Linked DNA regions of Lepisosteus oculatus. The protein of the gene in region 3 purifies or fractionates together with the protein of the main gene of each other region. This does not show direct contact. Links are inferred from orthologs where the notes say so. Each region holds a gene or a part of one and is shown on either strand. Other genes may lie near its edges.

Evidence for each region. Proteins that work in one complex are often made in the same cells at the same time.
Region 1: the proteins of ptp4a1 (region 3) and metal transporter CNNM1 purify together in Homo sapiens (affinity purification with mass spectrometry; 4 studies listed by BioGRID and IntAct, with this or other methods). This does not show direct contact. The link is inferred for Lepisosteus oculatus from reciprocal best matches to the Homo sapiens genes PTP4A1 and CNNM1.
Region 2: the proteins of ptp4a1 (region 3) and metal transporter CNNM4 purify together in Homo sapiens (affinity purification with mass spectrometry; 6 studies listed by BioGRID and IntAct, with this or other methods). This does not show direct contact. The link is inferred for Lepisosteus oculatus from reciprocal best matches to the Homo sapiens genes PTP4A1 and CNNM4.

What each region holds. Positions count from the first base shown.
Region 1 is NC_090699.1:30,558,481-30,566,027, reverse strand, and holds the start of metal transporter CNNM1, read left to right. Parts: upstream 1-4,540; 5' UTR 4,541-4,650; coding exon 4,651-6,100; intron 6,101-7,547. UniProt on the Homo sapiens protein: Probable metal transporter.
Region 2 is NC_090697.1:69,731,562-69,739,098, reverse strand, and holds the start of metal transporter CNNM4, read right to left. Parts: upstream 3,008-7,537; 5' UTR 2,990-3,007; coding exon 1,588-2,989; intron 1-1,587. Other genes in the region: lman2la (lectin, mannose-binding 2-like a), read left to right, coding at 5,936-6,137. UniProt on the Homo sapiens protein: Probable metal transporter. The interaction with the metal ion chaperone COX11 suggests that it may play a role in sensory neuron functions. May play a role in biomineralization and retinal function.
Region 3 is NC_090712.1:20,374,757-20,382,615, reverse strand, and holds the start of ptp4a1 (protein tyrosine phosphatase type IVA 1), read right to left. Parts: upstream 3,061-7,859; 5' UTR 2,651-3,060; coding exon 2,546-2,650; intron 1,911-2,545; coding exon 1,818-1,910; intron 681-1,817; coding exon 550-680; intron 60-549; coding exon 1-59. UniProt on the Homo sapiens protein: Protein tyrosine phosphatase which stimulates progression from G1 into S phase during mitosis. May play a role in the development and maintenance of differentiating epithelial tissues.

The sequences.
Region 1 (7,547 bases), on a different chromosome or scaffold from region 3:
CATATATATAAGAACACTTGCTCCGTAGAAAACGAATCGCCTACACTATGGCAGAGATGTGTGAGCAGCACACGGTTACGGATATTAAGATCAGCATGTTTTGAGACGTGGGTTTTGCTCTCCTATCCCGAGAGCGGAGCAGGTGGACTGGAGCGGGGGCTGATGTGACTGTACGTTTACTTTCTTTTAAAATCACAGTGGCAGGTGTCAGTAAAACACAATGAAGGGGTCAGTAGCGAAGACTTAATCCAGGGATAACGCGACTCTGGTTAACAGATGATTTCCTTTTTAACCTCGAAACTCCTTAGCGAATTGACCAATGTTTTTTTTTTATTTTAGTTAAAAAGTTTAAGTAGTACACGGGAAGTTCATGTTTAAATTGTAGGATTTAATTCAACAATAGTCTCTTTAGTCCTTTGTAATTAAAAAAAAAAACTAAGTGGGGTTACCCGAAATAAAAGGACACATTTGTAAAAGAAGTATTATAAATATTTCACACCGCGAAACAATCGTGCAAAAGGTCAGGCAAGCAAGTATTCAATAATAAGTGGTTAGGCAGTTCAACAGTTTGAGATTCGCATTATTTCAGATAAGTTTTAAAATACGTTCAGAATTTTTTATATATTTAGCTTTACACACAACAAACTATTAAAGGCATTGCTTGTTGGGTTTTATGAGCTCATCTTGCATTTAAGTAATTACAAAGATTCAACACAAAGAGTTTCAAATCTAAATCTATATTAATCTTCTTTGTATATAAACTTTGGAAGAACTTCATACGTCGGGTCCCTTTATTTCCTGATGAAATGGGGTTAAAGACTTATTTTAACTTATTAGGATCTAAAAAGAAAGCGACCGTGCTCCTGTCACACTGGAGTCCAGATGATCCTTAAATAGCCTGCAAAGACTTCAGCTACACTCTAAATGAATCATTCTCACTTAATAATTCTGGACTCCTTAACGCAAAATGTCTCACCTCATTCATTGTTACTCCTCTGCGCGCTGAGTTAGCCCAAATATTTTACTGTCAGGTTAAGGCTAAAAATACAACCAGTTACCGCATTGAAATTTGCTGTTAGTTTCAACAGTGGGTTCAGATTAAAAACAGCCTTTTCAGATAGGATACCCGAGCCAGAAAGAAAGTCTTGGAACCCCTGACTCGGAGTGAAGAGGAATAGGAGATACCGAGACAAAATGCAAAAACATGCATACTAAGCCACAGACATCACCAATTATCATCACCCTATTATTACGAGCGGTAACAAAAATGTTATAACTGCAGCAGCAGTAGCGCTCTTGTGGTAGACTACACTAAAAAACTTCTGAGAATAATACAGTCTGGTTTTCAAGCCGAGACGACTCAATATTGTGGTAAAGTCAGCACACAACAACACAAAGCCGTGTTTTTCTAGTCCCCCATCTTTTAAAAAAAAACCGCTAATATTTTGTTGGTGTTTCTTAACACAAAAGCGGACAAGTCTTTTTTGAGAAACGCGAGAGAAACTTGTGCGGTTTTCGTTTGAATATTTGAACAGGTGTCTTGTGAAATATCCAGCTTTTTAAAATAAAACAACAACCAAAGAAGCAAGAACACATTGCAAAAGGAAAATCAGTCAAGTGAACGTTGTACTGTACGTATCTACAGACTCGTATATTGAATGAAAAAAAAATATTTTGGAGAAGATGTTTGTAAGGATAATCTATGGAAATTCGTCAGGCTAGGGTAAAGTGTGCGGTACGGGTTGTTTTTTGCGTGACACCGGAGGCGAATCCTAAAACCATTAGGCTACAACCATAATAATGAATGATCTTTTGAAGCCAGATTTTGCTTCTGAGAGCACATTTTTGGAAATGTTAATCCATAAATGGTTAGCAGATTTCTTCTTCCCAATCTTTGTTTTCAATGTGCAGTGGAAGGATTCCAGCGTTTCAGCACACATTTCAAAGGAACAGGGTTTATCCAAGCAGTGATGATGTGTGAAAACTGGAACGCAATCACAGATTCCGTGAGAAAAAAGAATTCTGGATTTACGGTGCACTGTCAGTGGCAAAATACAGACATGAATGGTAACCGCACTGCTCCAGCAAAGAAATTTCTGTGGGCCGCAACAACCTGCTTTTAATATGTATAATCAACGATCCTAGAGTAATAGACATCTTGAAACACCACATTACATGAATTAGGAAAACTACAAAAAGTGGAAAGTGCTACACAAACACAATTATTTATTGGCTATCACTGCACATTGCTAGAGCGCGTCTGCGTTAGCCCAACCAGCTGAGCGCTTACTGTATGTCACAGCAGTGCTGAACGATGAATTCATTTTGAACTCATTATCCGTTTCCTTCCAAGTCATTGGAAAAAAAACAGACAGTCCGTAAACAATAAAGGAAATCATAAGAAACACGTTATTCTTACCTCATGAGATCGTGAAGTCAGGTAAACGCCCGGCCATTCGAACTGCTACCGTATCTCTCAAGTCTCTCTGCCTGTGCAAAACGTGTTCAGTTTTACCTTACAAAATCAAGCATGCCTTATTTATGTAACATGAATGATTGTTAAATATTTGTGCCCTGGAGCCAGAAAGGACTTACATATAGCATTTCAGAAGGGGTCTTTTATAAAAACGCTAAATGTATTTTAGTAGTTCCGATGGGTAGCTGCGTCAGCATGCGTAGGCTGCAAAGGAACAAGTAATAGGTTTATTCCATGCTGAAAAAAAGAAGAAAGAAAACACAACGTTTCGGCCGTGGAGCCTTCTTCAGGTGTGGTAAATGTATTTCAGGGCTTGACAGAACTGTGTGGTTTGTTGTGGTTCTGTTAATGAGCAACGTGAACTACGTGCTGAGTGGAAATAAACGTCTGCTTCCTCTGCCTCCGAATTTCTTTATTTCGGGGTGGGGGGGGACATTTAAATATTTCACGATTAGACTGGCACTCCTGGTGCGCGGTACTTGAATCCTAAACTAGCTCACGCTTTTCACAGCCAAGACAGTGCAAAGGGTGCCACCTCGTGGTGTATTTCTATATAACTGGCCAGAGTTTCTTTATTTTTCCATCTATCACTGCCCCATCACAGAGATTTTGCAAATCATGCACATCATCTTCACGTTTATGAAGTACCTGACTGTTATAATGAAGGGAGGTATAATTGTAAATATTCTGCAACTTCTGTGTGTCACCAAAACGGTGCAGGTGGAAACATATTTTAAGTTTATGATATTGTTTATTCTACGCGATTTGAAAAACGCGACCGAACCCAATTGTTTCGTGTCTGACGCACACTACCGGACGGGCCTGAAATAAGCGGGGTGTTTTCTTAGACTTTTATTCATCCAGCCCTTCATATTTCTTTTCCAGCGCGGCTGTGGAGAAGCGCAAACAAATTATTTGAAGCGCACAGAAAGGACGAAGTGTCAAGTTTTTTATTGTGTACTTCTGGATAAGCTCCAAAATACAAAATATATTTTAAAAGACTCATGACTTGTAAATTTGCAAACAAAAATGCGGTGATGTGAAGGCCAATGTTTGGATTTAGCAAATCGAAGCATGCACTTCATCAAGTGACCTAAACTGGGATTTTTAATCGCTCCTTCAGGGTTAATTTCCTCGGTGGCGAGTCCCCACAACCTTTTCTGCCGAGCGACCCATCAGCATCTGTGGCTTATGTTGTTACTGTATTCTCTGTTACAAGAACTTAACGATAAAAAAATGACACCGTCACCATCTCTCAAGGTCATCTAGGACATTCTGGAATGTCATGATAATGCCGTTTTGCAGGACCAAAAAACACACTTTTAACGTCTTCAATGGTACAAACAACCTTACAGTGGCAAATATAACAATTTTTGCTAAGAGATTGCAACAGGAACAACGGCGGTTTTATAGGACATTCGCCTAGTTTTCGAAAGCTATAAGAAAGTATTATGTTAGAATAACATTTTCATTGTACACGCAACAGAACCTTAAAAGACACATACCAAACATAACCTGTCTATATTTATCAATTAAGTGTTTAACTTTAAATTTGAATGCGTCGTTTAATATGAAATGCAACCCTAAATTCAGATACTAGTGCTTTATCGGGAGAAACAGATCGCTGTGACAGGTTACATTGGGGACTGCAGGGAATTAATCGGAAATTCGGCGAATCTGCCCTTTCTTTTCCATTTTTAGCATGAGATTAACCTCTTCTTGCTCATTTGCAGCTCGGAAGGTGACGCTGGTCCCAGCGCTTGTATTGTTTTATGCACAGAAATGATGACACGCTGAAATAATGAATCTATTCCACGCGTTTTTGTTTTTAAACAAAATCAGCGGTGATTCGTGGTTAGTTGACAGCTGTCTGATTTTGGATGTTAAATAGCATGGAGCAGAACAGCGTTATTGGAAAAACGTTTGCTCTCACACGAACCGTGAGCTTCCACGGATTTCCAGAACCTGGCAGCTTTTGGTGCCCCGCTTCTCTGATTACAGTATGTGCTGTAACCTCGCTTCTTGCGAAATGACATTACGTCACTGCAGCGCGTTATTCTTAAAGAGGTCTACCCTCCATCGGTCACTTAGCCCCTCTGTATTTACACTGTACGCCAGCTGTTACCCTGATTTCAGTGATAAAGCGTGACATCGCCACGTGACTGCGCTCGCCAATGTCCTCATACAACACATTCAGCATCATGGCTGCGGATGCTGCGGCTGCTGGCGCTCCGACCTGCATCCTGCGACCCGGTTCCCTGCCTCTGCTCCTCATTTTTGCCATTTCTTTGCCCGCATCGGCCCTTGGGCTGCTCGGATTCAGGCCGGAGGACACAGGGGGAGAGCTGTCCGTAGAAGACGGGGTGCTGAAGGCGACTGAGGGAACACGGTTCAGACTGCGTGTGTACTATGCAGCATCCCAGCAGAGACTCAACAGAAGTGTCAGCGGCAGAGCTGGGGATGCGGCTACAGCGCCGTGGATCGCTTTCATTGAAGAGCCAAGTCCGGGCAGAGAGGGACAGGTGCACCCCAAACGGAACCTCTGTGTGGACAAGAATGCCAGGACAACCGATATTGAGCTCTTGGGCTCTTTCAAGTCCGCATCCAGCCAGAATTCAATCCTGGTGGAGCTTCTCGCCAAGGACCTGCGCAAAGGTGAGAAAATCAAATATTATTCCATGTGTGCCTTTGATGGGATCAAGTGGGAGCACTTCAGGACTAGAGATTTCTGGCTGGCAGTCGTAGAACGTTCTCCAGAGGCCGACGTCTGGCTGCAGGTCATCGTCTCGCTGTTACTCCTGGGTTTTTCTGCCGTCTTCAGCGGGCTTAACCTAAGTCTGCTGGCACTGGACCCAGTGGAGCTCCGGGTGATCCAGAACAGCGGTACCGACAAGGAGCAGAAGCATGCCAGGCGGATACAGTCCGTGCGAAAGCACGGCAACTACCTGTTGTGCACCTTGCTCTTGGGCAACGCCCTCATCAACGCCTCTCTGGCAGTCTGGATGAGCCACATATTCGGAGTGACATGGGTTTCCATTCTGGCCTGCACCGTCGGCATTTTCTTCGTCGGGGAGATCCTGCCTCACTCTGTCGCCTCCAGACACGGACTCGCCATCGCTTCCAAGACCATCTGGGTGACGCGGCTGCTGATGCTCATCTCTTTCCCCATCTCCTACCCCATCAGCAAGCTGCTGGACGCTGTCCTGCACCAGGAGATCAGCAGCTTTTACACCCGGGAGAAGCTGCTGGAGATGCTGCGGGTGACGGACCCCTACCACGATCTGGTGAAAGAGGAGCTGAACATCATCCAGGGGGCCCTGGAGCTGCGGACGAAGACCGTGGAAGACGTGCTGACCCCGCTGAACGACTGCTTCATGCTGGCCTCGGACGCCGTGCTGGATTTCAACACCATGTCAGAGGTCATGCAGAGCGGATACACCCGGATCCCGGTGTACGAGGACGAGCGGTCCAACATCGTGGATATTCTTTTTGTGAAAGACCTGGCTTTCGTGGACCCGGACGACTGCACCCCCTTGAAAACCATCACCCACTTTTACAACCACCCCCTGCACTGTGTGTTCAACGACACCAAGCTGGACGCCATGCTGGAAGAGTTCAAGAAAGGTAAGGCTTGCCTCCCACCCTCTCGCAACCCTGGCCCATGAAGGAGGTCATCTCTCTGAGTAAAGTTGATGCTGCTGACTGTAATATGTTCGATATTTCTGGCGCCTGAGGAATTTAAAACCTTGCTTACGCTGAGATGAAAAGACCTTTAACTGCTGCTGCTCCTGTTGAGCACTGTCTCCATCCTAGGCTTGGCTTCTCAGCATTCAGTGACAAAAAGCTGTTTTCGCCTTTAAGTTTGTAGAATATTTTCAGAAATGACTGTTGCTTTCAGCAGCACAGTGACACAGTGGTTAGCAATGCTGCCTCGCAGCAGTCCCTGGGTTCAATTCCTTGGTGCTGTCTGTCTGGAGTTCATACATTTTTCTCATGTTTGCATAGTTTTCCCCTGGTGCCCTGGTTTCCTCCCAAAGATTAAAGGCATGTTGGTAAGTTAATCAGCTTCTGGGCAAATGTTCCGGAATGTGAGTGTCTGGTTGTCTGTGTGTTTATCTGCCTTGCGATGGACTGGCGTCCCTTCCTGGATGTGCCCTACCTTGTGCCTGTTGCCTGCTGGGATAGGCTCTGGCTTCCCTGTGACACTGAATTTGAAGAATCGATTAGAAAATGGATGACTATTGTGCTATCAGTGGTTTCATTTAACATGGTTTATATTTACACAGTTTACACAACATATTTAGTTTTCAAAGAGATATCAGATACCCTACAGTGGTAAATGGATTTTAAGTTAGAGCCCAGTGTTTCACACAGTAGTGGTCAGAGCTTAATTACAGCTTAATTATAGAAATGTTACTGTATATCCAAAGAGGGAGTTGGCAGTAAGTTTACCTGGGGCAGATGATAATGTTTTTGTCTTATCAAAATGCTAGTGTGAAGCATTCTGTTCAATATTGTGATGTGATAAAGTGTAAATGTATTTATTGATTTGTTAATCTGGAGAACTGTGCTTATCTACAATGTGTGATGAATCCAGGCATGAAGAATATGTGATGGGGTGTAAAAGGTATGGTTTAAGTACTGAGCCCTGTACAGATTGGGAATGGTTTGAGGAAATGTGGACAAACATGTTTGTGCTCCTGGGTTGTATGACAGATGATAAGAGTGGAGGAAAATGCTTTCTTTCTACCATTATCTTTACAGTATTAGCGAGAATATATTTCATAAATCATATATAATAAAAGATATCCTGAAAAGCCAGTATATGAAACTATGAAAGTATGACTTGGAAAAGAAACATTTCTCTTTATATCGCCTTAATACACCAAAACCTATTCAATGCAATAAGTAATCTGTACATGTTGTAACATTAAAAGCTGATTAACATGCAATGTCACATGGCAGAGAACAAGGGAGTTGTTTCTAAGCAGAAAGTTAAAATGAAAAAACTTTTCCATGCAGCTCATAGCTCTTTACATTCAGAAGGAGCTTAGCAGAACTGTAGGCAGGG
Region 2 (7,537 bases), on a different chromosome or scaffold from region 3:
TCCTAACCTCAAAGGCTACAGCTCTGTCAGCTTTATAACCTTAAAACTGGGAGCAGTTTAAAACCTGGGTGAAGCACTAGAGATGAAAGAGTCTTGCTGAGTAAATAACGAGCTCGGTTCATCAGGGGATCAGGGGATCATCAGACCCTCAGTGAGTCTGCACACCCCAGCCTTCATGTCACTTCGGACAGGACAGATGGTGCAAAAAAAAGGAGTTTGGATACCACAGCAGGAAGAGGAGAGGCAGAACTGTAGCTGTTAAGCCCTGAAACAAAGCATGGGTTTCATTCCCCTTGAGAGCTTTTTCTTTTTGTTAGCCTTGAAGGAATATGGCAATTAACTCTCTCTCCAATTCTCACATGCACATTTCTGTCTTGAAATTCTTTGCTAAACAGTAAATGTTTGTTTAAAAGAAGCCCCACAGGGAGCTGGGAACATAGGCGGTTGTGAAAACACAAAGCATCAAAACGACACATGGAGAAATGTTCACCAACATCCCAGCCCCTCAGCAGCCTGAATGGAAAAACACTCCAGCAGACGCCTAGTCAGAGGCGCCCTGGTGTGTCCTTACTGGTGCTGCCTCTTTAAGGGCCTGATGGCGGCCTCCCGACAAAGCATTGGAATTGCTGTACCACACTGCTGCATAATCTGCAAACCTGTCTCCTCTCCAAAGGTTTCAGTGCACAGGGTGAGCGAGGGGACACCGGCACGTCCGCGGGAGACACACAGCACAGAGGCAGCCTGTAACTTCAGCCGTGCAACCACACACGCCTTCGCAGAGCAACAGCCACAGCAGTCTCCCCAACACCACTGATGTAAGAAGGGCAGAGAGCCAGGCATACAGATATTTGCAGAGGCTGGCAGACAAGATCAGATACATGGACAGACACAAAGAGGGACGTATCCTGTAAGGACAACTTGGATGGTCTAACTTAGCTGCACAACTCTTCACTCACACAATAACACTCGAGCCTGAAATGATTTCTCAATCCGTCAGCCCCGAGTGTTTGTCCTGTCAGAAATACAAGTGGTAAGCGGGCGGAGGAGGGATTAGAAATGAGAACGCACAGATCATTTTGCTTCGTGAAACAACCCAACACAGGATGCCTGCAGAGCCGGTCGGACACACAGACCTAAAAACACAAATGTTTAAACTCGAAAGCATGAAACTATATTCATCACTTCTGAGGACGTTTTAGATTTGTGAGGTCATGAACGCACAAAGAGCAACAGTAAATCCTGAGTATGGAGCCCTGCACATCATTATATACCAGAAGAGAGGTGTCAATGACTCCTGGGAGGAGAAAACCAAGGCTAACAAACCTTATACCCTCTTTTTCCCCACAGTGCTAATTTAAAAAAGACAGAGGCGCTGTTCATACCTTTTAATGAACGCCATCTTTACAACAACATGAAAAAGAGGTGGGCAAACCAGACTGACAAATGAGACCAGTCTGGAACTGCAAAACACACTGCGGCTTCCAGCCTTAGGCTTTTCAGCAGCAGAAGCTCTCCAGTGCTCTTCTTTGACACCGCGCCAGTCCCATGCGCTCGACAAGCTTCTGTTGCTATGACGACGGGCCCTACCTTTCTTGAACTCCTCCAGCATGGCGTCCAGCTTGGTGTCGTGGAAGACGAAGTGGACCGGGTGGTTGTAGAACTTGGTGATGGTCTTCAGCGTGGTGCAGTCGTCTGGGTCCACGAAGGCCAGGTCCTTGACGTACAGGATGTCCACGATGTTGGAGCGCTCGTCCTCGAACACCGGGATGCGGGTGTAGCCGCTCTCCATGATCTCGGACATGGTGTTGAAGTCCAGCACGGCGTCGCTGTGGATCATGAAGCAGTTGCTCAGGGGGGTCATGACGTCCTCCACGGTTTTGGTCCGCAGCTCCAGCGCCCCCTGGATCATGTTGAGCTCCTCTTTCACCAGGTCGTTGTAGGGCTCCGTCACCTTGAGCATCCCCACCAGCTTCTCCCGGTTGTAGACGGTGCCGATCTCCTGGCCCAGCACGCAGTCCAGCAGCTTGCTGATGGGGTAGGACATGGGCAAGGTGAGCAGCATGAAGAACTTGGTCAGCACGATGGTGTTGGCCCCCACGGCCAGGCCGTGGCGAGAGCACAGCGCCTGGGGCATGATCTCCCCGAAGATGACGATGCCGATGGTGGAGGCCACCACCGCAGCCAGGCCAGATCCAATCAGGTCGTCCAGCAGGATGGTCAAGGTCGTGTTGACGAGCACGTTGCCCAGCAGGAGCGAGCACAGAAGGTAGTTGCCCTTCCTGCGGATGGGCTCGATCTTGCGGGCGTACTTCTTCTCCTTTTCCGTACCGCAGCTCTGCACGATGCGGAGCTCCATGGGATCTAAAGCCATCAGCCCCAGGTTCAGTCCGCTGAACATGCCGGACAGTAACAGCAGCAGGGCGATCAATATGATCTGCAGCCAGAGCGGGAGCAGCGACGACTTCTCCTCCACCACCTTCAGCTTGCCATCGTTCTCCCCGAACAGGTCCCACTCGCCTTCCGGGCTGCGTTTCACGCACAAGCTGTACTCCTTGGACTCTTCGCTCTTGCGGAGCGTCTTGATGGCTAATTTGAGCACCCCGGAGGTGCCCTGGCTGCTGACGTTCATGAAATTATTGATCGCGATGTCTTTGGTGAAATCGGCGCAAGTCCTGTTAAAAGAGTGGCTAAAGGCATTGTTTTCGCCCTCTCCCACTCCGTCTCCGTGTTCCGTAAACCTGATCTGTGACCAGGTGCCCGAGTTTAGCTGCAGCCCGTAAAACCTGAGCTGGACCTCACTGCCCTCTGTTACCTGGATGATTCCCTCGTTGGTGGTCGTGGCCGACTTGTTGCTCCACACCAGCCGCATGCCCAAGATCTGGCTGTTACTGACCTCTGCGGTTGCTGCCTCCATTCGTCCAGCTGTTGAGCTCCATAGAAAAACGATCAAAGTTAGAATATACCCCTGCCCACTCCAGTCTGTCGCCATGTTTGTTTCACTCTCCGCAAGCTGGGAGCTGACGTCACCTACTCATTTCTTAAAACCCGCCTCTTCATTATCCTAACCCCGCCTTCTATACCGCCCACATATGACGTTAGGGCCGCCTTCTAAATCATCACTTTCTTTTTAAGGAAGAGCAGTGCACTTGTTAAGATGGAAGGAAATATTTTTATTTAATTGGAGTCGTTATTGTTCATAGTATATCCTGAAAGCAATTCCTTTAACTATCCTTTAAGACTGTTTTAACTGACATAGATGCACATACCGATGGCATAACTGACGTATATGTGATATTTAGCAATTCAACTTTTCAAGTGTTCCAGTAAGAGTAAGAGTCTTTTAATTAATAATAAGAAATTTAGGAAATTATACTATTTTTTTCACTGTAATTATAAAATACAAATATATCGTTTACTACTTCAGACGGAATAAGTATGCACTCCATATATAGTTTATATATTAGCTACAGAACATCGAATCTTAATGAGGTTCACCATTTTGACAGTGATGTTAAAATAATATCCTCATAAAAATAAAAAAGGCGTTTTAACTTTTTTTTTCAGTGATTATATCCGATTGAACCGCAGTGCTACTGAACTTGCTGGTAAACATTACATCATCATGTCCGGGTGGCCCCTGATTGGGTGATAATGACATCACGCAGCCTCAGCCTCCACACTTTTAAAGAATGAAATCCAGCAAAGCTAAATGAAGGGTGCTGTGGGGGTGGGGGTACCGGAAGAATGACTTGTAATCCAAACATTTTTACTACAAATGAGGATGAAATCATGCGTTTATTTACTTTATTACAATAATTATAATGAATACCGTCAATCTCTCAAGAGCTAAAAAATAAAAACTCTTTAATTCATTCTTAAAACAAACGTTGTGATGAAATGGACTGTAAACTGAACAAAAATGCTTTTTTATTGAACAGCTCAGAATAATTCTCAGTACACAGAATTATTCCCGACACAATTATTTTAGCACTTATCATGACTTTTCCAAGTAGATTAGGAGAACCTCTTAATCCCACCTGCTGTACATGCGAATGTGGAAGTTTTGATTGGAATTGACTAAGCCCGCAAAAAAATCCTCTTAACATAATATAGTTAAAATACTGAGGACTATCATAAATCGTTAACATAGTGTTTTCCTGCCGATGCCACCTCGATATCAAAGGGGATTTGTAGATTGATATATGTGCATAAATGACCGATAAAGGCCAATAAAATAGAATACTAGAGTAACAAACAACTTATACAAACACTATCAGAGCAAAGCAAAGATTACTCGTAAACTATAATTATAGCAAACAATAGAAGAGCACAAGTACAGGGTTGTAGGATTTTTTGGGATTATGAATAAGCGTTAAATTGTAGTGGGAAGGTTTTGGAGAAGCGTGTTATTGGCTGTATTGTGAGTGAAAGAGCGCACGGGGAGGACCGAGAAAGAAACAACAGCCAATATAAGGTAAAGGGCAAAATGATGAGAACAGATCACGTTCCCTGTCGGCGACGCCAGAGGCGGGAAACAAAACTAAAAAGCCTAACTGCGGCCTTACAGTATATGCCATGTGACAGAGCTCAAAACTGCTCAGCGCTCCACAGCCTCTCAGTTAGCGGTTTCCAGGAAATGAGTCTTCTGTCTGAATAGGGCTTTGTGGCTAGGCTGTGATCGGGCGTTATAAACACTATGTCATATTTAGCGCACATGATTTCATTCTCCTATGTTTCAGGTCTGCGTTCAGACATTCGTGAGCCACATGAGTCAGCCTCAAGATGCATTAGATTTCGAAATGAATTCCCGGGCTTGCTTGAGTTCAGTCGCTGTTACAATTTTGGCTTCGTAAACCGTTTTAAAAACACACTTTCGACGGCCTTTCATATGCAAAGTTTGGAAAATCATCAGACTGCGGATTCTTTGACCCTTTGCTCTCAAAAAACAAATATCAAACATCAAACTATTAATTATAAGATGAAAATGTAGAAGCTTAAATAATTTCATTGCAATTGTTCCATCAAATCCCTTGCTAAATATGAACGTCAGGCTTCCAAGCGAAATATTAGTCTTCAGAAAAAGAAATTGCTGCTCTTTGAGAGGAAGCAAGGCGTCACACCCAGGTCCTGCCCCGCGACAAACCAGTCCCTGCTCGGGTGAGCGTACCGGGCTTCTTGGAAAACTGCTTTTAAGGTTTTAAGGTTTCCACCTCAAAAGTCCAGGATGAGATCAGTAAGGAAGAAACATCCAAAAGCACATCCGCTGTGCTTGCGGTTCTGGAAAATAATTCCGTTCGACTATATGCACTTTAAGTATCATAGGAAACCTCGTTATTTAATAATACGTTTCGGGTAGATAATAAAAACATAAACATAGCAAAACTTTTAAGCATATGTAGCTACAGTTCATTAAAAAATCGTTCCTATTCTCGGTTTTGATTTCTTGTGCTATCCGACATACTTCTACGAAATGTGATTTTGTCTTTTTGAAACTTGAAAGAAACAAGTAACGCTCAAGTAGAAGGTATATGGCCTGTGGCTAAGAAAAACTTTTTTAAGTGTTCAGATTGGTTTTTTAACGTTACACTATTAGACAAACATTTTCAACATCTTACTATTCACCCTCCTAACGGAATCAGTTACCAAGGCAACTGCTTCCGGGAGTGGGCGGGATGTTTGGAGTCTCTTTAATTGATAATAACTTTTACCAATAGAATCCCAAAAGTCTCACAAGTGGGCGGGTATTAGCCCCTGAACCAATCATATTTCGCTTCCAACGAACTGTCATTATTCATCGGGGGCGGGGCACAGGTAGAGTTAGACTCGTGAATGGCAGTTCAGTGCAGCGAATAGTTGATGACAACACATCCTACCAGCCACTGAGAGGCGAGGTAGGTGGGGAAAGGCGTGTCATGGAGGGAGGGGGAGGAGCAAAATGGCCGCTGCCATGAACGGGAAGGTTCTAGCTGGGGCTCGCAAGGGAATTTTTTATTTCATTTCTTTTCACAATATGATCAAAAAGATCCCGTTCGCAGTTGTCTTCATCCTGCTCACGGCAAGCCCGTGCTGGGGTGACGAAGGACACGAGGTGGAAGAGTTCCTGAAAAGGGAGCATTCGCTGATCAAGCCGTACCAAGGTAAGATCCATTACGGTACAGATGAACGGGGAGGGTGAGAGCGGATCGATCATAGCGGGAGAGAGAAAAGACTCTCCCTGCAAATCAAATGACAGCGCTGAAATCTCCAGCTGCCTTCGCTTTCTGACACTGGCTTGGCGGATCGGATCGACTCGACGTGAAGTGCACTAAAATATCCGCCAACACAGTCACGTTATCTTCAGTAGCTAGTGTTTTCGACAGGCTTGTCAAACCATGGCAACGCTAAATATCCGTAAGCGTTACAATATGAAGTCAACCCGAGCACTGACAACACGCGTTTAAAACAGCGTGGCTTTATTGATGCATGCACCTGACTCCTAGCCTCCTAGCCCTGCACGTCGTGACTCGCCTGGCTTGGATTGCGTAATGCAAGAAGTAGAGGCGACCTGACCAGACCAGTGCTGTTGTGTTGCGAAATCTGACGCGAGGTAGTCATCCAGTCACAGCCATTTCAGGAATTATGTTCTGGGGGAACACAGGTGAACGATGTAGGCGAGAGAGCGAGTAAGGAGGAGGCCTTGCCATAATCTCACATGAAAGTTGCCGCCGGTACACAGGTCAGCCCGACCTGACAAGGCGGTTCAGCAAGTTGAATTGAGCAACCGCGATGCAGGCTGCTTTGGTTTCTGGAGTGTGTAACCCTAACCCTGATCACACGAGTACGTGATTTTGGTTCCTTTGCCTTGGCGGAGAAACCGAATGGAAGTGTTTTTTTCCTGGTCTGATTCTGTGTTTTGCAGTATGCATAACCGTGTTTTTAAACCAGCCTGCAAGTTCTGTTCACAATTAAAACTGTAAAAAAGGTAGAAGTGTAAACCACTTTAATTCATCCCTAAATAATATTATGGAGCAATTTTTATGTTGGTTAACCGATACAGTATGAGATCTTACGCAGGTATATAGCTAAATGAATTGGCTTCATTACTCTGGCGCACTTTGGCTGCTGTTGCATCATGGTAGTGGTCGGGGGAGTCCCCATTACCTGTAAAGCGCTAAATAAGTGTAAGGAAAACAGTCACACCATAGCAAAACGTTCAAAGTAATATAGCTCCCCCTAGTGGTTGGAATACGAACCGGTGTTTTCGCTTCAAAGTGCTTTCAATTTGCCTTCAATGTGTCACCTGAAAAAGGTTCCACAGCCAGAAACATTGTGTATCTTTTCTTTACCTTTCAGCACGCAATGAACCCTTACCCGTTCCTTACATTTACAATGGGAAGGAAATTACGAATCCCCTCATGTTGATCGCAGTGCCCCATAATCCCAAGAATAACAATAAGTTCCCCGTTCAAATAAATCTTGTTTGTCAGTATCAAACTGTCTTGTCAGATGTAATGTACCGTCAAGTACTAGAAAAAGAAAGGAATCAGTTGTCCGGCCA
Region 3 (7,859 bases):
CTGCATCTTCATACTTCATTCCACACTCAATCATAGCAAGGGCAACCAGGACTGGAGCTCTGGAAAGCAATTTTGGACAGAAATTAAAAAAAAAGTCATTTCATTGACCAAATTATAATGCAAAATGCCTGCAATATATTGATTAAATGTACATACTCCTCCCCTTAATTCAAATTGGCTAAGACTTGATATTTCTTCAGTATTAAAGTGGGTCATGTACTGTTTCAAACATATGCAACAACATTTACCAAAGTGTTGTATATTTTTAAGATTTTAAGCCTGACTCTCAAATTATGTGCTGCCAACATATAAAAAAATTCTGTAAAATAAAGACATGTAAATGACACCTCTATCATTAACTAAACCGTTTTTTAGAACCAATAAAAACAATAGCTACAATAAACTTTCCAAAGGAAGAATCATCTTAGAACAGGTCATTTGTTTTGCCAATTGAGATGTTAAAAGAGTGGATGGAAGATTAGTAACAAAATAAATGTTACTTCATATTGGCTGCTCTTCAAAGAGCAACACAATGAAGACAAAACACACCTGCCAAGTCCTGCTACACAATGGACAGCAATGCAACAGCCAGGCTCCTCACGGAATTTAGCCCTCAGGAGGTTCAGCCAGTCATCGACAATCTGGTTGGAAGGTGGGGCTCCATCATCAAATGGCCAATCCTGTAGAAAACATTCAGAGCAGAAAAGCATGAAATTCTACCAATTCCTCACATTTATAAAGTGCTTTTCACCCCTAAGGATTCTAAAGTGCTTCTCATCCATGAGGGACATGTTCCATCGACCTCTGAAGTACAGTTCCGACCTGGTTGTCACAGAGCAGCCCTTATGGGCCAACAGTCCCACCACACAGCAGATTAGGCAAAGAAGTGAGGCAACAACTTTCAACAACTGAGGTAAACTAGGCTAGACTGAGAAAATTTTAGCAAGTACAAGGCTGCAGAGATCAGTGATGGCAGTGATCGCACCCCGGTCAACTAATCCTGCCATAACCTTGACAGCACTCAGTCGATTGTGCACCACAGTGCGCTGTTAAGAAACTCCCCCTGGCAGTCAGCTAGTGACATCACCCACAGGCTTGAACCCACAATTCTAGAGCCCCACCTGCACACAGGTAAATGAGTTCAACAACCGGGCCATGGAATGTCATGGGATCTTTAAATGACAGAGTAAAAAGAAACCTTGGCTTAACACCTCATCAGAAGATGGCGCCTCCTTCAGCTCTCCTAACGTGTTCCTGGTCACCACTTTTCGGTGAGGAAAGAAGAGCACCTCTGATTTTCCACCAACACCACTTCAAGACCAACTTGATTTTCCTTAGTTTCTCAGCCAGTACTGACCAGGTTCAGCTTGGCTTAGCTTCCAATGTCTGATGAGAACAGGCTAGAATTTCAGCCAAAGCTGAACCTTAATGCTCAGATACATTTTATCTGAATATAAAGTTATTCTAACAGGATTATTGAAACAGAACAAAATACAGAGAACCAAAATAATTGATTTTAAAAGCAGCTGTTGCAGTTACCTTGAACTTGATTATATAGTTTTTGCATAGAAACGTGGCAGTGTTGAGGAAAAAGAAAATGTCAAGTCTAATCTAACAAACCAACTATCCCTCTCCCAACATTCGTCACCACTCTGAAGTTTCCATTCATTTTACCAAATGAAATAAAGCACAAATGGATTAATTGTTGCATTGGTCTAATTCAGACCCACCACTAATCTTTTTCACCTGAACTCATGGATTCCAAGTGGGAAAATGGAACCGGATATTCCCAATAAATGAACCTGCTCAGCACTTACCAAAACCTGAATGCCTTCCTTTTCCACCAGAGATGTATCATAGGTAGCTTCACAAACTCTCACCACCGTGGTAACACCATACTTTTTCAGTTCCTTTAAAACAAAGCAACAAGTCAAAATCGCATTCAAGTCAAAACTAATTTTTAATACCATATAGAAGTGGAACCTACTTCATCTGGTACTAAAGCAGAGGTGACTTTAAGGACACACTATGTGACACTAGGCAAACAACAGATCAGGTGGAGAAAGGAGAAACTGCTTTACCAGCCGAATTAAGGGGGAACTTTAAGAAAATGTTGGAAAAAAGAGTGGAATTTAACCGCTAGGTTTTTATGAAAAGTGCCATGGAATCTTTAACGACCAAGTACTGAGGAGCTACAGATTACAAACATTCCAGCAAGCCCCTGTATTCAACGTAAAAAATTGTATCATATCTATTTAATGTAATATATTTAAGGGAGAAGGGGATTAAGCATAGTGTTTATAATGTTTTAGGTGAGGCAATACTGTCAGGAAATTATTACAAATTACTGACAGCCAAGGCTGATGGAAATTGGCTGCTATAATCCCTCCCAAAATTGTGTTATAAACGTCATTAAAAAAACTGGATTCAATCTATACATGGGAAAAAGGATCACTGGTTTATATTATGGAGAGTAAAGCTACAGTTCTTCTTTCTATAAATCATGGGTGTCACAGATATTTTTCTGATGGTGTGCGGAACTCACCTCTATAAACTTGTTCAGAGTGGCATTAGTGGGGTTGTGGGTGATGAGGAATCTCATGTTCTTGTACTTGATTTCCACAGGGGCAGGGCGATTCATTCGGGCCATTGTTAAAAAAGGTTTTGTACAAATTTAATAAAGAACAACAATAATAACAAAAAATGCTTAAAAATATCCAATACAAATTGACGTGGATATATGGGAAAAAAGACTTTTTTTTCTTTCACTGTACTCCACTGGAAATTCTCTCCTCTGCAAAGATGAGGTCTAGGAAAATAAGCTGGGGGTAGGTGGCTGGTAATGGATCACTAAATAAAAAGCAGCAGATCTTCTTGATTCCAGTAATACTGAAGCCAACAAAGAAGGCAGTGCACCAAAGGTTACCCCATCCAGGTTCGAGCTCCTCTGTGAAGACAAGTGCTCTGCCGGGACTATTCAATGCTTCTTATCCAGGTTATCAGCGCCGCCTCAGCTCCTAAGGGGGTTTCTGTGTGGAGTAGTAATGAATTTCTAGAGTTCACTTGTCTGCATAGACTCCGTGCTGTGCCTGGCAGTAGTCTCCACTGCCCTTCAGAAACTCCATAAATGTGTGACCAAGAACACCACAGAACTGCTGCAAGAGAAACCACCAGAACAAGCGTTAACACGTGTTCACAGGAACCCTGGCCGACCCCACTGCTAAACACTTTCTAAAGATGATATGTTGAATGTGACATTTATCCTGACTGAACTGTTGCAAATACAAATCAAAAAGCTGGAACTCCTTTGATTGTTGTTTTTTAAAACATTTTTGAAGGCAGAAAACTGTGCTGAATTGCAAGTAACAAATCATAATCTACACCTGTGGCTATAAAAGCCAAGTCTTCAGCTTTGCTTTATTGTGCTTTTCTCAATGTGCTGCGTCATTAAATGTCCCAGTTGCATAGTAATAAACCTTCAACAAAATGAACACTTAAAAAGTACTTGAATCACACAACCATGATTCATATGCACTATTTTATAGACCATTTGGCATTTTCTGCAAGTACGCAAACTGAAGTACGGCTAACCTCCAACAGGTGAATAAGATGGAAGAAAATGAAGATAAATACTTAAATATCTAAACAAATTAAGATCTATTCAGGATGATGGGGAAGCGTGGAAGTAAAGCATGTGTTCTTCAGCCATGATTGTCTAAAAAAATCTTTTTGGTTTCAGACATAAAATGGAATTGTAACAAGAATAGTATGTGCATATTTTACCTTAAAATAACTTGTTTTTACCATTTTGCACAAAGTCATTTGTATTTCAGCAAAAGAATTTGTAAAGTGTACAGGATCTTTACCATTACAAACCAAGTATCAACCATTAAGTCATATCTACTTTAAAAACCTCTGTTAAAGTCCTAACCTCTTTCAGTCACTGCTTAGCAATACTTATTGCAAAGGCACCACAGAATCAGAGACCAGAATATGCCAGTGATTAGCTGGACTGTTAATACAATTCTCGTGAGCACTTAACCTCCTGGCTGTGCATCACATTGAGGAGTCCCTGTGAATACTCCCGAAACACATGGAACAGTTTCAGACTATAGTGCCCCACGCTTCAACAACTGATGTGCAAGATCTGAAATGTGGCTGTACATATTTCTAGGACTGATAATTACTACGTCACTTGTAAAAGAAAAAACATCTAAGAGAACGAGCACCTAGCCCGAGAGAGGAGCACTATGTAAAAACCTTTGAGAGAGACATCTGCCTTGTTACATCTGGGCCATGCTTCCCGGTCACACTTTCTCCACCTGCACTTCCTCAAAACACTACCATGCTACATTTAAAATTAACCTACGCTGTTGGGAAAGAAAAAATAATTATCTATGCACACCATTAAAAAAAAAAGTTATATTAGTTATGGGCAAGGTTTGAAGTATCAGCCAGCCACCTCTGTGCTGTGAATAACACTTTTGTCCAGCTAATTCAGGGGAAACAGGTTGCAGGTAAGACTTCTGCATTCAAATCAAAAGGGACTTCACACAACGAATCTATCAGATGAGCATCAATGAGTCATAGTCATGAGACGGCAAAACATTTTTCTACACTCGACATAAGGCTCATTTTTATATGAATCAGGCCTTGAGCAGCGACTCTTAATATCATGTGATTACATCTGTTGGCAGATGAAAGAAAAAATGGTTTAAGAGTCAAGATGACTTCATGGCGTCCACCTGTAGTGGCACAAGTGACGCTGCGCACTTCACTGGACCAGGCCGCCCGCTCAGGGAGCAACGGATTTCAGCGCAAGAGCTGCTTTCTCTCTCTCTCCCTGCTAGCACCGGTTAGTTATAGTCGTAAAAACGGAAAGGGTCGCTTCAGGATTTTTTTAACCGTGCGTTCCTTATTTAAAGCCACGACTTTAAATATTTAATATTTGATAAAGCTAAACGTATTTTTTTAAAATCTACACCCTTATCGTGGAAACAAGTGTTACTTTGACAATCCAATGCTAATAAAATGTTTAGAATTGGCGGAAATTTCCCTCCACGGAAAACTCGACATTCCCTTTCCTATAAGCTACTAACAGGAAGCTTAAATCAGAGGGGAGCCCTAATTATTTACAGCACTAGCAGTTTCGACCACGTTCCTGTAAGGCCATTTTGTGAGCAGGTTCCTGCTTGAATCCCCCCGCTCCGCCTCCTCGCTGTAGCGCAACGTATCCCGAAGCATCACTTGATGTACAATTTAGCTACTGTGTAGCATATCCCACTGTGGTAATAATTTCCTTCTCGGGGCAAATTCAAGGCGTCCGCCGCGGCTCAAATGCCTACATACAGAGAGAGGCTGCTGGCCCCCGCGGTACCGGGCACCGGCGCCGATGATAAACCGGGAGATCCAGGGCAAACCCGTGCCCTACTTCTGAGACCGAACTGGATTAAACAGGCTTCCAGTCGGGAGCCGCGCAGGTCCGCCACCATGTTCCCGAACGCGATTTGTTTCCCTTAGTGTTCTATGTCTCAGTTTTATTTTCCTGATGTTACTTGTACACGCCGATTATGTTTTTTTTTAACCCAACCCCCCCCACACACACACAAAATACACGAGGGTGAGAAAAGAGGGGGGAATCAATGAACCGATTGCACCGGGCGGGTATACCACCCCATACCTGCTGTAAAAGGGAGAAAATGGCTATTTTCTCATGTTTGGAATCAGAAAAAAATAAAAACGTGTTTTGTGAGGTTAAACCAGATATGTACAGAATAGAAGCACTTAGGTCTAACATAAACCCGACACATCGGGAGGGAGCGGGCGAATGCAGCTCTTTGTGTAGCCTGTAATTTCTGCCTCTGTCGTTTGAGGCCTAATCACTGGACTCCGATTAAGATGCGTCTTGAAAACGGAATCGTCTTTATAAATCGTCATGAGCATAATAAACAGCACCCAGCATATGTTGCATACGACATATGCAACACAGTTACTGAAGCATTTGCTAAATTAAACTGTTTACCATGAGAAATTGCCCTAGGAACCCGTTCCCAGGCATGCAGTAGGCGGTCTTGCCCAGGCGTGCCTTCACGATCCGCGCCGGCATTCATTTAACAACCAGCGCAAGAAACCAGTATTAAATTCGCAACCACGCACTCATACATTGACAGCGATAAGTAAATCATAAAAAACGTGTGACATGTAACCGACAGAATTTACCCTCCCCCTAAGAAAGACACGCTGGCGAATAATGGCAAGTTAGAAAAGAGGCCACAATGTAGCCAAATTGTATCACAGTGTAGGATAAGGACTAGAAAAAAAAACAAGATATCTTTTATTAAAAAAAGAGGGATACTTACAGGGATATGCTTACTCATTGAAGATTGTAGCTTAATCATAAAGCCGGTCCCTAGGAAGAAGAGAAAAGGGTATAATGGTTTTGTACCATACAGCTACCGTCTCTGACTGCGTCGGCGTCTGCTCCGCTGCTGTCAGTGCTGGGCAGGCAGTGATCTCGCCTCTTGTCTCCACCCCACCCCCGCCGAAGACAGCGCAGCTCCGGACTCTGCGTCACACGCCTCTCCGTTCCTCTCCAGAGCCCCGACATTGCCGCTGCGCTCAGTGGCTAGGGCAGGATGAACTTATGCAAACAGTATATCCAATTAGTCCTGCCATTGCCAGATTCACTGGTGGGTGTTAGAGCTCTCCTCCGTAATGGGATGTAATCACACAGTTCTATCTATCATAGGGACAACAATCGGAAAATATCATTTTTTTCCCCCCTGGGCTTATTGGAATGAGATTTGGAGATAGCATGTTATGAGAAAGCTTTCTTAACAAGGGATAGTCTGCTGTTAAAGTGATGTAGGTACATAATTCTGCATATATTGTGATTCGTTTGAATCACTTTCTTAAGCTTGTCACGAACCCAAGTCTTCAAACAGCGCTCCTAGACGTCAAGACCTCAAACATCCTCTCAAAAAAATATACATAGAATCGTTAGTATAATCCTTTACATTATCATTTTCTATAATATACAGAATATAATATATGATTCTTTAAATATATCCACAAATACATATCTGTATTGCTTCTCATAGTTTTGCTAACTACAGTATTTTCAGTTTCCTTTAACACACTCACTTCTTTCCATTCCTCTGTCGCTTTTTTGAAGTGGCCTCGGAAATAAGCAGGAGGGTTCACCAATACCGCCCATCCGCATTGTGAGGCCGTAAATGTTAATACTATTTATAATCTTTACCAATGAAGAATCGTGTCTTGTGGTTTCTGCTGCAACATTTTTTTAAATCAAAATCTGAATCATTTTCCTGTGTTTAGGAATCCTTAAAATATTTTATGTAGTACTCCAAAAATCATTTATGTTCCAGTTCACATCACAGGCAGTTTTAAGGTTCACAAGGTATTGTAAATGTCTGTGTCTTATGGGATAGGTATGTCATGCAAACTGCCCAGCCTTGTTGTTAGAGCAGATGAGCTGGGATCTTTCAAGAAATGGCTGCATGATCATGGGAAAATAGGGGGAAATGAGGGTCAGGGAAGGATATGGAAACAGAATGAGGGCAGATATAAGGCTTATAACTGCAAGTTCAAGTGGTCACAAATGCTTAAAAATTAGGTATATCAACAGGAAAGAAAAAAGGACATGTAAGGTTCTGACGTTCTTCATTCTTAAATTGTTTGACCTGAAATGACAAGATTGTGACTTGGTAGCAGATCCTCTATTCATGTGGTGGGTTTATAATGCACTCTGTAAAGTTTCTTAATTCAATTCACGGGGATCTGCAGTTTACTTTCATGTCTACATATCTGCATTGTAAGAAATCATCTTCTGGATTGAG